Oryzias latipes: one gene and its partner. The protein of the gene in region 2 interacts with the protein of the main gene of each other region in a biochemical or structural test. Links are inferred from orthologs where the notes say so. Each region holds a gene or a part of one and is shown on either strand. Other genes may lie near its edges.

The links. The genes of interacting proteins can lie anywhere in the genome.
Region 1: the proteins of frizzled-7 (region 2) and dvl1 form a complex in vitro, tested with the Homo sapiens proteins (2 studies listed by BioGRID and IntAct, with this or other methods). The link is inferred for Oryzias latipes from reciprocal best matches to the Homo sapiens genes FZD7 and DVL1.

The regions. Positions count from the first base shown.
Region 1 is NC_019865.2:20,960,223-20,967,950, forward strand, and holds part of dvl1 (segment polarity protein dishevelled homolog DVL-1), read right to left. Parts: intron 6,067-7,728; coding exon 5,997-6,066; intron 1,611-5,996; coding exon 1,489-1,610; intron 1-1,488. UniProt on the Homo sapiens protein: Participates in Wnt signaling by binding to the cytoplasmic C-terminus of frizzled family members and transducing the Wnt signal to down-stream effectors. Plays a role both in canonical and non-canonical Wnt signaling.
Region 2 is NC_019879.2:16,922,494-16,930,758, reverse strand, and holds frizzled-7, read left to right. Parts: upstream 1-4,000; 5' UTR 4,001-4,475; coding exon 4,476-6,173; 3' UTR 6,174-7,607; downstream 7,608-8,265. UniProt on the Homo sapiens protein: Receptor for Wnt proteins.

The sequences.
Region 1 (7,728 bases), on a different chromosome or scaffold from region 2:
TGCTACATACGGGCAGATGGGTGCACCTGAGCACGACTTCTGGAGCACAGGTCACTGCATGTATGCAAATATGTCTGAAGATGCGTGCTTTAGACGCTTTTTTTTTTTATTGTTTGGACAGCAAAGTGGGGACAGTGACGGCTGCTTGTCTGTCAGGCTGCTGATAGCTGCTGGTAAGAAGGGAGATTTATCCAGCAGCTGGGAACAAATTCTGTCTATTTTCTACAGAGGCCCCCTCCCATCCCACTCCACCTTCCCCTCCCCAACTGGTGCCAATCGTCTGCCTTTTCCTCTTGGGAAATAGAGATGCGTACTTTAATCCGGATTACCAGGCAGAGGCACATCAGTTGGGTTCACTCTAAACCCAGAACACCTATTCTTCAAACACGGCCATTCACGGTGTGGAATACATGCAACGCATGAATAGAGCACAAAGAGAAAATGAAGTGGTAATAGTATTCTGGCTATTTACAGAGAGGTAAAGCCGGAGGACGGGCTTCCTTTCAGACAGAAGGAGAGAGGAGGTTTGCTGTAGGGAATACACCACACCGCTTCCCTGAGAGAAAAGCTCGTCTGTCGGACTCAAGGAGAGACGGCGAGGGAGGGTGGGGGTGGAGGGAAATGACGTGGGGTAAGAAGCGCAGTGCGTTTAGCCTGCACGAGGTGGCAGCACTGAGAAATGGAGGGGAACAATAAAATCATCAAGACGGCTGACAGCCACATGGCGGGGAGCGTCCCATAGAGGGCAAAAGAGAGCTGAGATGTCAAACGCTGGATAAAGAGATACACTGAGACATGACAGATTGCACGCTCTCAATATAGAGCTTCAGCAGTACTGCCCCAACATTATGACTGAAACAGCCCCAGCCCACACCCCCCTCCTGGCTATATTTAGCAAGGCGCTTCTCTTTGGTCGAAGCTGTGATATTTTCAAATTTGACAGTTTTACGCCAAAATCGGCGCTGAGGTGGCCCGGATGAAGCTCAGGGGAATCTCCTCTTCTGACCTTTAAAGCACCAATGTGTTTTTTGAGGCACTCTGCTTTTATTAGTTAATTATGCTCCGAGTGACTGAACACGAGTCTCACTCAGTGCCAGTTTTTGCCTGAAGATTTTTGCGCCGCAAAGGCTATATTTGGAGAATCAGCAGTGGAGTACCCATCATGTTTACACAAAGGGGTGGACGAGCACCTCGCTCCAATGCTTGCACGAGTGGAAATGAACCCACAAAGACAGCCGTGCGTATTCTGACACTCCAGTTTGAGCAGACTTTATCTTCACACATCGCCTAATCAGGCACCTACACTTTCCATACAAGCTGCTGCTGCAGCTGATGATGATGAGGAGGATGAGTCTCCCGTGAACTATCCACTTCTTAATTAGCACATATGGCATGCTACATTAAAAAAAGGCACACTGAGTGCAGAGAGCTGTGCCTGACAGCATCTGACAGTACACCTGTAGTACAAATGCGCAGCAAACTACTTACTGAAACGAGGGGGGCCGCGAGTCTCCGATGCCTCCCGTCCTCTCGAGGGGAGGGGGCAGCTCGGGGTGACTCTCCGTGCACTGAGATCCTCCATCGGAGTGCGCGCTCTCTGCCAGGACCAACTGAGGAAGAGGAGAACATGCTGGTGAAGAACAGTTGAGAAACACGGAACAAACAAGTCGGATTTTTGTGTCATTAAAATCTGCAAACAGAGAGTAAGAAAACACACAGAGGAAAACACACGGGGGATATTTGTGTGCTGTGGAAACAGACACTCGCTGTGTGCATGTATAAATGAGGAAAGGCTATAAATTGAGAAGCCTAGCCATGGCTAAACAACTCGGGCAGACGGTAAACAGCACAGAAACTTGAAAGAGTGTCCAGCTTTTTTACCCAGCAATGTCTCCTTTCAAATGATGCAAAAGGAACCCATCCTTTCATCTAAGCCATAAATGAGAATGTTAAAGCAGATACCCGTGCACAGGCCATCAGCGGTGGGCGCCACGATTGGTTTTTATTCAACCTCTGGGTTCATGGGTGTGTTGTTGTGGTACAGTTCTAAAAGGAGGAGCAGTCTGCTTTCATAACTGCTCTTTTATAGGAGGCTGGGTCCTCATTCACATGTCTGCCCCCATTGAGGGCAGATATTCCAGTTTTGGAGAAAAATAAAGATTGAGAATTGTAACAACTATTTCTTGTTCATGAAAATATTATCAAACTGTACTTTTTACAAGGTTAGGTAATGGCGTTGTTGTTTTAAGTTTTATTTTTGATGATTTACACAAAAAAAACCAAGACAATAGCTTTTTTCCGAGGATAGACAAATTATGTGCATTTGATGCCAACTCTCTTAAAAAAACTTTGAAGTGCTTATAAGACATTTGCCTCTGTTTTTATGTAATTTTAGAAGCCTTCTTTGCAGTAAGAATATTTTAACAAATATATCCGTGACCTCTTATTTTTTAACCCATCTTCGTTAGGCCTGCGCAATAAATCGCAAATTTCTCGTCGCGATATCAAGCTGTGCAATACAAACATTGTAAAGGTCAGCGAAAATCGCAATAAATGGTTACTTTAAATGTGTTAAAACAATCTTATGGCAGCTTGAAGTATTTAGTGAATCAAATAAATCCATTTATGCATTTGACCAATTGGATGAAGCCGTTTTATGTTAGATTCTCGCCTCCCATTTAGACTAGTTTCATTTGGAGTTTAACTTAAGGTATGTTGACTCGTATTTATATTAAACTGCAGTGAAATGGAAAGGATGTTTATGGTTGTTTTGCTATTTGTTCATATATCGCAGGTTATATCGCCATGGCAATATTAATCATTAATCGCATCTCGCGAGTTTTCTTCATATCGTGCAGCCCTAACCTTCATCTTTTTACACACTTTCCTTTTGTTTTTCTTTGTAGCTTGATGCCTGATCTCCAGAGTTGTTGTGACAATTACATTTCCCCACGGCAGGATCAATGAAGTTTACTTATCTGATCTCATCCTTTATAAAAGCAGCTCAAACATCTTTTTAGAAGGCTTGTAAAGTTTCCCCCCAAATGCCCCTAAAATCGATAAACTGCAACACAACATTTAATAACACATTTAATTTGTATTAATTCTGTATCAAAACTCAAAAATCATAACATTTCCATTCACAGTTTTAATATTTCCTTTAAAGACATCCAGTTGAAAGTTATTTGTTGGTGTTTTTAAAAAGTTCTTGTGGCATTTTTCTCATGATGGAGAACATATATAAAGAAAATAAAGTTCAAAATTGCATTTAGGAGCAGGTGAAAGATGTTGTTTGAAAAAGCTTGTAGTTGTGACGTAGAAGCTACAGTCGGTGGGCCACAAGCTCCCTGCTCCGCTACATTCTGACTGACATCTTTGTTTTTCTCATCTGAGCTGGCATCTGGCTCAAAACTGCATGCCTGGATAGCTCCAATATTGCTTGCCATTGCTGTTGCACCAGTAATGTTAGGTTGGGGGTCTGAAGGGTTTTAAGGTAGCAATGGATTGTTTAAACATATAGATGATGGGAAGTGGGTCTCTCAAATGTCCCGCCCACAACTCAGAGACGAATTTCTGATGAAGTACTGCTGCTCTGAAGAAACTATGCCCTTGAAAACAACACAGGTTTTTAGATTTTGGCTAAAAACCGCATGATTATAATTATGAAAAAAAAGCACTGATCAAAAGATGATCATAGTGGTTATTTAAACCACAAAGACTTGTGTTTTATTGGTGAGGGAAGTCATTGGTGGACTTAGTGATTCAGCCAGCAGCACAGGTTTATAAGACAGTTATGAGACACGTCATTTTAAAAGAAGCAGAAACCTGCAGGTGAGTTAAAGCTCTTATTTTGAAAGGAATCTAAGAGAAGGGTTTGTACACTTTTTTAGCAATGGTTTTCCATAACTTTTCCAAAACTTTTCCATAACCTTTCACAGAATTTCCAAAACCAAAAACAAACACATTTCCGTCAGACCTAGTCGGTTCCGCTAAATCAGACCTTTCCTGATATTTTTAAGAGCTCATTGGTTCTTGAGAGTTGGGACAAAATACCTTCAGAAAAACTTCATCTGTTCCTTTTACTGTTCAAAAAATTGTTTTGATTTTCATGATATTTATTGTTTTAGACATTTTTAACCCTCAAATTTAATTTGATATAAATGTTTGTAAATACTTAAGGTTTTTCAATGCTGGTTACTAGTGTGACCTGATGGCGTCCATCTCTAAAAAAGTAATTATCTACTATTCACAATTCCTTTAGATCTAACATTGTGAGTATGTCCATCCATTTTAAAATAATGATTTTTATCCATTTAAAAAAGACTTTTATGTGGGACGTGTTTTGACCCGACGTTAAAGAATCAGTGAACTAAAAAAGCAAAGAACTACAAGCTAACATGAAGACTATAAGATGAGCTGCAATTAAAAGCTGAAAAGCCACAATGTGTGCATGTCCTAGACATGATCTGTTTTGTTTATGTGCTCGTCATGATATCGCCTGTTTTGGTCTTCCTACAGACTTTATCCACTAATATTACAGAGCTCATCTTATAGATTTCATGAGCAGATAAAGTTAGTGCCCAGCCTGTTTGGAGTTCTTCGCCTTTGTAGTGCCTAAAAATATTTGAACGAAAATGACGGAAAAAATTTAGAACGTAGATCACCAGTTCTTTTTTCTTTTTTTTTATTGAATGCAATACGCTTCCATAGTAACACCATCATTACCTGTTTTTGTTTTTTTTAATTCTCTGACCAGCCCCGCTTCTCTCATGCTGCTGATGTCGAAGGACTTGGAGAAAAAGCCTGCATTTTGCACATTTCTGGTGCAAAATGTGTTTTAGGAACGGTTGATGCCTCTGCTAGAAAAACCACTCATGGTTAAAGCTAAATTTTTACCGGCATTTCGTAGCATTTCACTGTAGAAAGCTAAACGCGCCATGCGCTGAACTGACGACAACTCAAACTGCTTTATGGCAACACAAACTCTCATCACTGATAGGGTGAAGTTGAACGTCTGCCACAATTAAAAGTTGAATCTCATAAACTATTTTATCTTATGTTTTTTGTATTCAAAATATTGCATTGTTATGACTTTTCCAAAATGTTACTGAAGATTTTGTTTTTCACAAACTTCTCAAGGACTTAGACATTGCATTTTTAATTTCCGAAACGTTTCCAGGTTTTTCATGACCGTCCAAACCCTGGAGAAGCGGAAGCAGTAAATGTGGGCTTTTGCTTGAAGTTTGGTGTAAAAGACAATGAGCTGAAATGTATGGGTTGATGACACTAATATAACAAAGTAAGAACCTGATAAACAAGCCGAGGCTTAGAGCTTTGCCCCCGGTATCAACACTAATTAAGTGTTTCTAAGAAAGACGGCTCTAACAAGTGCACAACTCTAACCCCTGACTAACCCCTGACCTTCGGATTCAGGGAGGAATAATGAGTCTCCCTTCAGAGATCAATAATGTAAAACATCAAGGACTGTTAAAAAAAAAAGCCATCAAGCTGATTGAATACACATCCTATCAAACGAAATTGCATGTCCTTTTTATTAGTTTTAGATCAATATTTCTAGGAAGCTCTAACCTGACTCCTTTGTCCTGGTTGACAAAACAGTGATGAAGACGTAAATCCTGCTCTAACAAAGCTAAACTGTAAAAATAAACCGTCTTTATTCTTCCCAAAGGGAAACTTGCTTTCACAATGTTGTTTACTGTGTGTAATAAAACCACTCAGGAGCTACATGATTCCACAGATAAACTGACTAATTTCAGCTCTACATGATTGACTTTTGTAGCCGTGGTTCAGTGATGGATCAGTCACAGATTTCCACTTCAGTTGAAGAGTGCGAGTTAGCGTTTCCCTCCTGTGGGGGTGTTACATGTGTTTGTGTGCGTGATCTAGGAGTGAGCCACATTTCTGTGGCTGGAGCTGTGGATTCAGGAGAGCAGAGAAGATCAGCACAGCAAGGCTGTAGGATGCGTCTTACTTACCCAGGACACGACTCTGCCATTGAAGCATGGCAGCTTGGCGTTGTCATCGGAAATCTCTTCTTTGACAACCCTGGGAAGCAGGAACAGAGGTAGGGTCAAGACTAACCAACCAGGAGAAGAAGGCAGCACCATGCAATGACATGGAGAGGCCGTTCCCCTAAATGCAGGTGGAGGTGTTTACTTTTTGCACCAGTGAAGAACAATATGGTTTGAACTGCCGACCTGCCAGAAACAACACAAATCTGAGATGAAAACCTGTCCAGGTGTGCAAGCCATAACATGTGGACCTGTTGAGCAACCCACAGAGTGAAGGTTTGATCAGAAAGGACATTTCATTGGACTGCTGTCCTGCTTCCATCACAAGAACATGGCGAGGAACAATAGGGCGTTTTCACACCAATAAACTTGAAAGGTCTGCTTCTTTGAATCAGTTCAAGTGGGAACCTTTAGTTTGATTTATATTCTTTATGCAATTTTTGCAAATGTAATAAAACTTGTAAATGGAAACACATGAGTGATGATCACCAACCCTCTTAGCCAAGTATCAAGAGGGTGAAGAAACACAAATTTAGGAAAAACACAGGAAGGGCATCCAGCATAAAAACCATCTACCCGTGTGAATCATTGAAAGCTGATTCACTAGGTGTGTAACAATCTATCAACTGAGGCACGTTGTTAATTTAATCGACTCATGCCATTATAAGATTGTTCCAAAATGAAATATATGACTAATAATCAATATTGGCGAATACCATTTGGATTGAGGTACAGTAGGTTTATTTTACTATAACGTAAAAACAACCAAGTGTAACCACAGCAGACAACACGTGTGTGATGTCAGCAAAAAAGGATCAAGCCGTCAATGTGAGAAAAAACTTGGAATTGAGCAAAAACACGTGACCGTATAGTTTGGATTGTTTTGATGTGGAAAAACAACAGAGAGGTGAACTTTACAAAACTTAAATGTGAATGGATTTGTCATTAATACTTGTTTGTTTGTTCACATATTTAATTTTCACTTGATTGTCTTACAAAAATCACAAGGAATTTGGAAAACTTCACCTGCAGTACCCAGGTATTTATCTCTAAGCCATACTGGTAGGATTTTTGGCTAAATCTGTCCAGGATCAATTTTAGGTCAGTGAATCGGATCGAAAAACAAAAAATCTGCGAGAAACGTATAATATCTTAGTTTTGAATTCAGGAGTGTGTCTCAGAGAATAAAATGCTGTTGGTTCCCATTAGCAGTAGATCTGACGAGTAGATCTATAAGTCTGTCTGATTACTTTTAGGTGGGTAAATAGAAAAAAGCTGCAGAACGTGACAACAACATGTCAAAGAGAAGGAACGTGTATTAATAGTCATCCAGAGTGAAAGGAGCCTCCCTCTGAGTGTTCGTCTTCGGCTGTAAATTCTCAACAAAAATACCTCACAGTTAGCCTTTGACCTGCTGGGACACCGTTCAGATGCAACCCGTCACCACACCTGCTGGGCCCGTGTCACACAGATCATGTCTGGAGCCAGCAGGGGAAAACACCTTGCACACTGACAGAGTCACAAGCTGGAAACAGCCACATAGATTTACCAAGTATTCCTTTCACTAACCGCATGCATTCGTAAATGCAAGCTTCTTTGTGGACGGGCATTTTTCCTGAATTGATATATACTTCTAAAACGCTGTAGACTCTTGGCTTTGAACATGGCACAGGAAAAAGGAGCCCACCCCCCCACC
Region 2 (8,265 bases):
TAAAATAGTCACTGAGTGGTGGGTTTAAGTGGCACCTCCAGTACTTTACACAGGGGTCCAGCTCAAATGACACGTGCACAGTCCAAGCCATCATCATCTTTTTTTTCTCAGTTTATATCTCGCCTTAATCTGCTGAAAATCCATGTGTTTGTATAACTCTTTCCCCCCCCTCCAGCTGCAGTGGACTGCAGTCCAAACAGTGAGTGACTGTCTGGATGGCTACCCATCTGCTTGACCACTGCTGACTCTATCCACAAACATATGCACTCACACAAACAAACCGTTGCACATTGACATGATGGTGTTCGTTCCATTTGACCTGATGTGGCTACTAACTGCTGGGGCTCGCACCGCAGACAGTGAATGAAAACAAGCCAAGGACAGACCCCATCCAAAACTCTATAATCCTGCTACAAGTATTTGCACAAGACTAAAAAGACTGTTGCCCGTCTTTGTGTTTTTGAAAATTATTGGACTTTGTGCATACTTTATCTAGCTGATGCTGTAGCATGAAACTTCAAATATAACTATCAAACAAATGCATTTGCTCACATTGTCCCAGGGTACAACTTGAATATTTTTGCATTTACTTCTTTATAACCAGCTCAAGATGCACCACACAACTGTTGACAATCTAGATGACATGTCCAGCCAATCAAAATCTACAGACATAGAATAGCAGTAGTAAAATATGTTCATATTTTTCCAAGAAGAAATATTTAATTAGCTATAGCAAATAACCTTTAAATTGTATTTTTGGGTTTTCCCTATTTTCCTCAGAAACTGTTTATATTTATTTATTTTTTCCTGATTTTACTGTTGTTGGGTAAAAATAACAACATTTTTTTTTACATAAATCAGTTACTAGTCAAACTGGGATAGTCTTTCGACAATTTTTTTTAACCAACTGCCATCACTAGTGACAATGTGATATGCATGCAGTCAATACTTTTCCTACATGTATCAATTGAACATGTGTCCATACATGAAATAGCACTTTGCCTGGATGTTGTGACAGTGTGAGAAGCCAAGCCACAGATTCAATAATGTGAACATATATGTTATTAGTTAGCCTCTCTTTTTGTTCCTTATGCGAATTTCCTCTTTTTTCTTGCAGTTAACAAGTAATGTGTTGACTTACTTGTAAAGCTTTTGTCTCTTTATGTACCATCTGCTTTTTTTGGTAATTAAATTATTGCTGGCTGTGATCAAATTAACACAGATACAAGATGACCATATTAGAAGCAAAGGTCACCAACAACAATTTGATTAAATTTCACTCAGAGTTTAAATGAAATTAGAATTTAGTTTTCTTTATTTTTTTTTTCTTCTTTCAGTTTTTTAAAACAGAAATATTTAAAGAAAGAGTTTCTAAAAAGTTAGATTTAAATCTGTGATTCAAATGACTGCGCCTCTGTGTTCAGTTTGTTGTAACAGCAATTACCATCCCTTTTGGGGGTCTTTTTCTGTGAGCGGTAAAATCCAAAACCCTTTGAAGACTCCATGCTTGTTTAAATACTTGAAATTTGTATTCAGCTCCTATACTTTTATTAGCAGTAGCGCCCTGGATGAGCTAAGGGTGAATTTTTGTGGGGTAGAGTAAGGCCATCTTGCATGCATTAGGATCAGAGTTTTTGAGAGCCTGAGTCGTTTTGAATTGCTAAGTTGCTGAAAGACACAAAGTAGGCCTTGCCTTTGGAGAAACAAGTCAGATAGTTCAGCAACTTTTTTCAGATTTTATACAGCAACAATACGGCAGACTGTTAGCATTCCGTGAGCAATTTCATTTTGTTTCTTTAAAAAGTCTATAAAGAAAGTTTGATCTCTGGTCACTTTTCTCTGGGATACTTCATTTAACTCCTCTGACATCTCCTTTTGGCTAAACCTCTCCTCCCACTCCTTTTCCTTCTCCCCCTGCCCTCTTTGACCTTTTCTCTTCTTCCTGTCCCTTCCCCCATCGCAGCCAACCCCCACCATCTTTTAAGCCCACTCAGGGTAGAAACACACCAAATGCAGCGATACTGCCATGCAGCAGCTCCATTCATTCCCTCCAAGCCTGCTTTTCTTTGCTCAGATGATCATGCTGCCACTTTAAATGACAGCTGTTCTGACTGTTGTTTTCACCGCCCTACAGTGAGGAAACGGAGAAGGAGCTGTGCCTTATTGTTTGAAATGATGCCCTAAACCAGACCATGTAAAACACAGCCCTGTTTACTGGTTTAAAATGCTGGAATCAACTCTACTTTTTGTTTATTGTTCTACTTTTTTAGATTTTTATCAGTTTCTGTAGGCCGTCACGTGTCCCACTTGCAACCTTTTTTTTTATTTGTGTGTAAATAGATAGTAAACTGCAATTTTGGATGCAATTGTTAAAAATTTAAAGTGAGCCACTTTTGAATTAGAAATCAAAAAGAAAACTTAGAAATGTTTCAGATTTTTTGTCATGGCATTTGGGGCCCTTTCCCATGCCTACATCCTGCCTTGGCAGTTCACCAAAAAATTGCCTCTGAGTTGCAGGTGGGATAGTTTGCATGGAGTAAGCCTGTCTTCAATTTCCATTATCTCTTTGTTTATACTCTATCCCACTAGCTTACAGCCCCTCACAACCCTACGCTAACATTAGCAGTGCAACAAAGAAAGTAAGCAATATTTGAGCCATCCAGCGAAATAGTTTTGAGCCAGATAACGGCTCAAAAGAGAAAAACAAAGACTTAAGGCCCGTACACACCGGGACGAATATTCGCCAGGCGTTATTCGCCAGCGTTTTTCGCCACGTTTTTTGTGTTCACACCCAGGCGATTTTCGCTGACGGTGAGCCGAGCGAACATGCAATTTCATTCCCTGACATTAGATGGCGCTTAATGTAAACAGAAATACTCCTGTACACAAGGTGGCGCTGCGCAACTTTACGCTTCTTAAAGTCGCTTTTCACTCAGAAGAAGATAGCAAGTATTTACGCGCTTGTCAGAATCAAACAAAGAAAACATGAATATTTCAAGCATCAGTAGCTCCAACTGGTACTTGGTAAGGGGATATTTAAGAATGTCCGTCATTATTTCTTTGCGGCAGTGTTGACGCTACTTGGCGTCTATCTTCTTCGCTGGTATGTGTGCTCAGCAAGGCAGTTTTGTGTTTGAGCGCCCCCAAGTTGTGTTTTACTGTAACTTCAGAAGCTCCAGACACGTGTGCAAAAGCGCCATTCTCATTGGTCGAATAGATTTCGACGCGACGCGTCGAAAAAAAAAAACGAACCCGAGGCGTTTTTTTTTTTGACGCTTTGTCGCGTGGCGTTTTTTCGCGTCGGCGTGCACACTCTCATTGGTGCCCTTTGTTTAGTCACGAGGCGTTAAACGTCGGCGAAAATCGCCGGCGAAATTCATCCCGGTGTGAACAGGCCTTTACATGGATCTATTTCTCTGCATGTGGATGCATTGGAATGGAGTGGAGCAGGGGAGCTTGTGGCCAACCGATTGCAGTTTGTATGCAACAACCACGTTTTTTCCCTCCGTTTTATTTACTTTCGGCTCTTTCTTATTCACCACGATTTGAATAAGGAAATACCCAGAAATGTAGTTTTAGTGTTAATTTTCTTTATGTATTGTGAAAATAATGCTACAAGAACATGAAATAAACACAAAATAACACCATTTTTATTTGAGAGGGTCTTTAATAAGAAACTAATAAAATAATAATGTTTGTTAACTATATTTTGGTACAGGCATTGGTTTTAGTTTCTAATACCAATAAAGTAAAAAGCTCCAAGTCAAAAAGGGTGGAAAAGGTTCATAAAAATATCTCAATAGAAAAAAATTTATTTAATGGAAATCTCTAGTGTCAAGTTATTAGTGTAGCATATTTCCTTGCAATGGGGAAATTAAAACCAATCAGGAACAAGTCACGTAGGAAAACAAACGCCCGGATTGGCTGAGACGTGACGCTGGTTTTAAGGCGCCCCGTCATCTATTGGGGGGGCGGCGAGTGAAGGGAATGGGCGCCTTGAAACCGGTGGAATCTGCAAGGAGTGAGAGCGAGCTTCTGGACTTCCAACCGCCCAGCGTGTGAACCGACGCTCAGCGTGAAGTTTAGCCCCAATGTTCTAGATATAGGCCATTCGGTGGTGTGTTTCCCGAATTTCGCCGAAGTGAGAAGCTTAATGTTTGGGAGACGCTGGGATTTTTTTTTACGGCTGAAGAAAACTGACTTGGAAGTGTTGTTTTCCATTGAGTGGGAGTGAGAGTGGACGGCTTGGAGTCACTTACAAAGAACACTAAGAAGTCATGACGCGACGGACGCTTTTCCTGGAGTTATTACCTTAAATACAGGGAAAAAACTCGATTTGGACTATCTTTTACAGTAATTGTTGGGACTGTAAGTTGAGTTTTAAAACCGCTGCGGACTTTTTGGTGTTTTTAAGCCTTTTCGAGTTGCCCTTAGTTGGATCAAAGTTTTTCTTTCCCTCCCCCTCCTCCTCAACTATGGCGGCGGCCAGGTTATCCACTGACTCCTTGTGGCTGTGGATCATGTGGCTTGTGTGCGGGCTGTGTATGCCAGCCGCTTCGGCTCAACACTACAGCGACAGTGGAATATCAGTTCCGGAACACGGATTTTGCCAGCCCATTTCCATCCCGCTTTGCACCGACATCGCCTACAACCAGACCATCATGCCAAACCTCCTGGGCCACACAAACCAGGAGGACGCAGGACTCGAGGTGCACCAGTTTTACCCGCTGGTTAAGGTCCAGTGCTCTACCGAACTGAAGTTCTTCCTGTGCTCCATGTACGCGCCGGTCTGTACCGTGCTAGAGCAGGCCATCCCCCCGTGTCGGTCGCTGTGTGAGCGGGCACGGCAGGGGTGCGAAGCCCTAATGAACAAATTCGGCTTCCAGTGGCCGGAGCGACTGCACTGCGAGGCTTTCCCGGTGAACGGAGGCAGCGAGATCTGCGTTGGCCAGAACACATCCGAACCCGGCTCACCCTCCTCCTCATCCCCACATGTGCCTGAGCTTGTAACGGTTCCACCCAACAGGTTTCCGAATCCACCTCAACCTCCACACAATTCCTACCACCAGTTCTCCTGTCCCTTGCAGCTGGAAGTGCCTTCCTACCTCGGCTACAGATTTATGGGGGTCAAGGACTGCGGGGCCCCCTGTGAGCCCACTAAGCCAAGTGGGATCATGTATTTCCGAGAGGACGAGGTTAAATTTGGCCGACTTTGGGTTGGCATCTGGTCCATCCTTTGTTGTGTGAGCACTTTATTTACTGTGCTCACATATTTAGTAGACATGAGGCGGTTCAGGTACCCTGAGCGACCCATCATCTTCCTATCCGGTTGTTATTTCATGGTGGCTGTTGCATACGCTGCTGGGTTTTTCCTGGAGGACAAAGTTGTCTGCGTGGATAAGTTCAAGGGGGAAGGCTTCAGGACTGTAGCTCAAGGGACGAAAAAAGAGGGTTGCACGATCCTCTTTATGGTGCTGTATTTTTTTGGAATGGCCAGTTCCATCTGGTGGGTAATTTTATCCCTCACATGGTTCCTTTCTGCTGGGATGAAATGGGGTCACGAGGCAATCGAAGCAAACTCCCAGTACTTTCACTTGGCTGCATGGGCGGTACCAGCCATCAAAACCATCACCATACTCGCCATGGGCCAGGTGGATGGCGATGTCCTGACAGGGGTGTGCTTTGTCGGGATCTTCAACGTGGACGCCCTCCGTGGGTTTGTGCTGGCTCCACTTTTTGTCTACCTGTTCATCGGCACGTCCTTCCTCCTCGCTGGCTTTGTGTCCCTCTTCCGAATCCGCACCATAATGAAGCACGACGGAACCAAAACGGAGAAGCTGGAAAAGCTCATGGTGCGGATCGGTGTCTTCAGTGTGCTCTACACAGTACCAGCCACCATAGTGATTGCGTGTTACTTCTACGAGCAGGCCTTCAGGGAGCATTGGGAGCGCACCTGGCACATGCAAACCTGTAAGCGCTTTGCTGTTCCATGTCCGGTTCACAACTTTGCTCCCATGACGCCGGACTTCACTGTGTTCATGATTAAATACCTGATGACCATGATAGTTGGAATTACCTCTGGCTTTTGGGTGTGGTCAGGGAAGACTCTTCAGTCATGGCGGAGGTTCTACAAGAGACTTGGCAATGGCAACCATGGGGAAACAACAGTGTGAAAATTGGAGGAAATAAATTGCGTCACATTACAGTTTTGGACAAAACACCATAAGAAATGAGGTCGAAAAGCTTTTAAGTCAACATGTTTCTCCCTTTGGACCCCCCCCTCAGTATTTGGCAACAGCAAAACTCTTATCTGTTGCCTCAAAACGTCGGACGAACCTTTATTTCGCTTGTTTCTGTTGCTCATCAGTTACATCAAAACCATTGCTTTCCCATCGATTTTCAGACAAAAACTGGTGTTAAAGTCTGTGCTAGTCCCTGGACTGAAATCCCAGACTGGTGAAGTTACTATTTGCATATTATCAATGGTATCCTCATGTCACAATAGAAATATCATAGTCCATTTTTTGTTGCCATTTTAAGGTGGACTAACAGGATGGACTCATTTGTCCAGAAGCGTGCCTGCACGGCTCCAAATGCTTTTAATGGTATGATTGTTGAACCACCAACAACCTTTGACTGTGAATTCAATAGACATTATGTGCTTTTAGCTGAACACGGAAAAAGCTGTATTGTGTTAGGTTTTCAGCACACAGCTGCATCTCTTCAAGTGAGAGAAGTTCTTCCAAGTCTGTTTTATGTGCCAAGTTTTTCACAGAAATATTTTTCTTCTATATTTTCCTTTAAAAAAAAAAACCAAACGATTTTAATGTCTGAGACTGAAGGGTATTCACTAAAGTTACTAATGGTCAATATAAGGATGAATGAAGTTTTCTTATACTGGTTTGCACCGTTATTGTTAAGTGTAAAAGAATGGCTGTTACAGAACTGACTTACCTTGGATCTTGCATTTTAACGAAGCCACACAAATGTCTAATGTACGCGCTGTAACTGAGACACACCAAGCCCATTGTTGGTCTCTGTGTGTGGTCCTTCCGCAGTGGGATTCCCTATCAGACAGACTTTCTGTTAAGCCTCAAAGACACCCAAAGTAGCATTTTCCTGCCCCACGTTTAATCCGTGGGAGTGCAAATGGCTGCTCTGGTGCTCTGATCTTATTTTGTTCTACCTAAAGAAGTTCACACCTGCTCAGTATAACTTTTACTTCCTTACCGTCTTCCTTCATGTTCTGAAGTTATTTTTTGTGCTTCTACACAAGCAGACTGAACAAGTTGTGATGTTATTTTAGTGTCTGGATTATTTTAAATATCCTTCAAAAGAACAGTGAAACTGCTGGTCTCTGTTCAGACTTTGTCTGATCTATTAGAGAAATGTCAGTAGAAGGTCAGAGGTTGCAGGGATTTTTCTATTTGAAAATGCAGTGTAGGCAGATTCGATTAACTTTAGCCATTGTTTAGTGTTTTCTAGGGACTAAATCACCTCAGCGTGTAACAGATTGGTAACGCAACGTGTGTGATGTCCACTTTATCTAAAACGGGACATTGAATGTTTGTCAGATCACATGATCAGAACATATATATATATATATATATATATATATATATATATATATATATATATATATATATATATATATATATATATATATTATATATATATACAAAAAAAGTTAATTATCCTTGGAAGATATGCGCGGTATCAATAAGGTGATCAGTTTGATAGGTTTTAACTTTAACACTACGAACATGTTTTTATGGGGGATGGCACAAGTCACAATGCTGCTCTATCCACCCTGACTAAACAATAAAATTAGGAAAACATACGCGGAATCTGAATCAGCTGGATGGTGGCATGTGACCATAAGGTCATTTTGCTCTTTAACAACATAGTTTCTCTGTCTATGTCCTGTGTCCCTTTATAAAACATAGGAACTATCTGTAAGATTGTAGGTCAATGTGCAGTTTCATGGTCAACTTCAGATCTTTTAAATCTCCAAAGCTGTGCCCTCAATCCATCTATATTTTTATTATTATTATTATTGTTAAGAAGTTTCTGCTTTGTACCTACCTTTGTGTTATCCTAAAGGCAGTTTGTATATAGTAAATTTGTGATATTTTCCATGTGAATGTACTGCATACCTCAAACCCAGGTTAAAGTCGGCTCAAATGATTGACGTATTGGAAGTGAGTCGGCGAATCCACAGTCAGTCATTGGGTTGTTTTTTTTCTTTTAACCAAATATGATAAA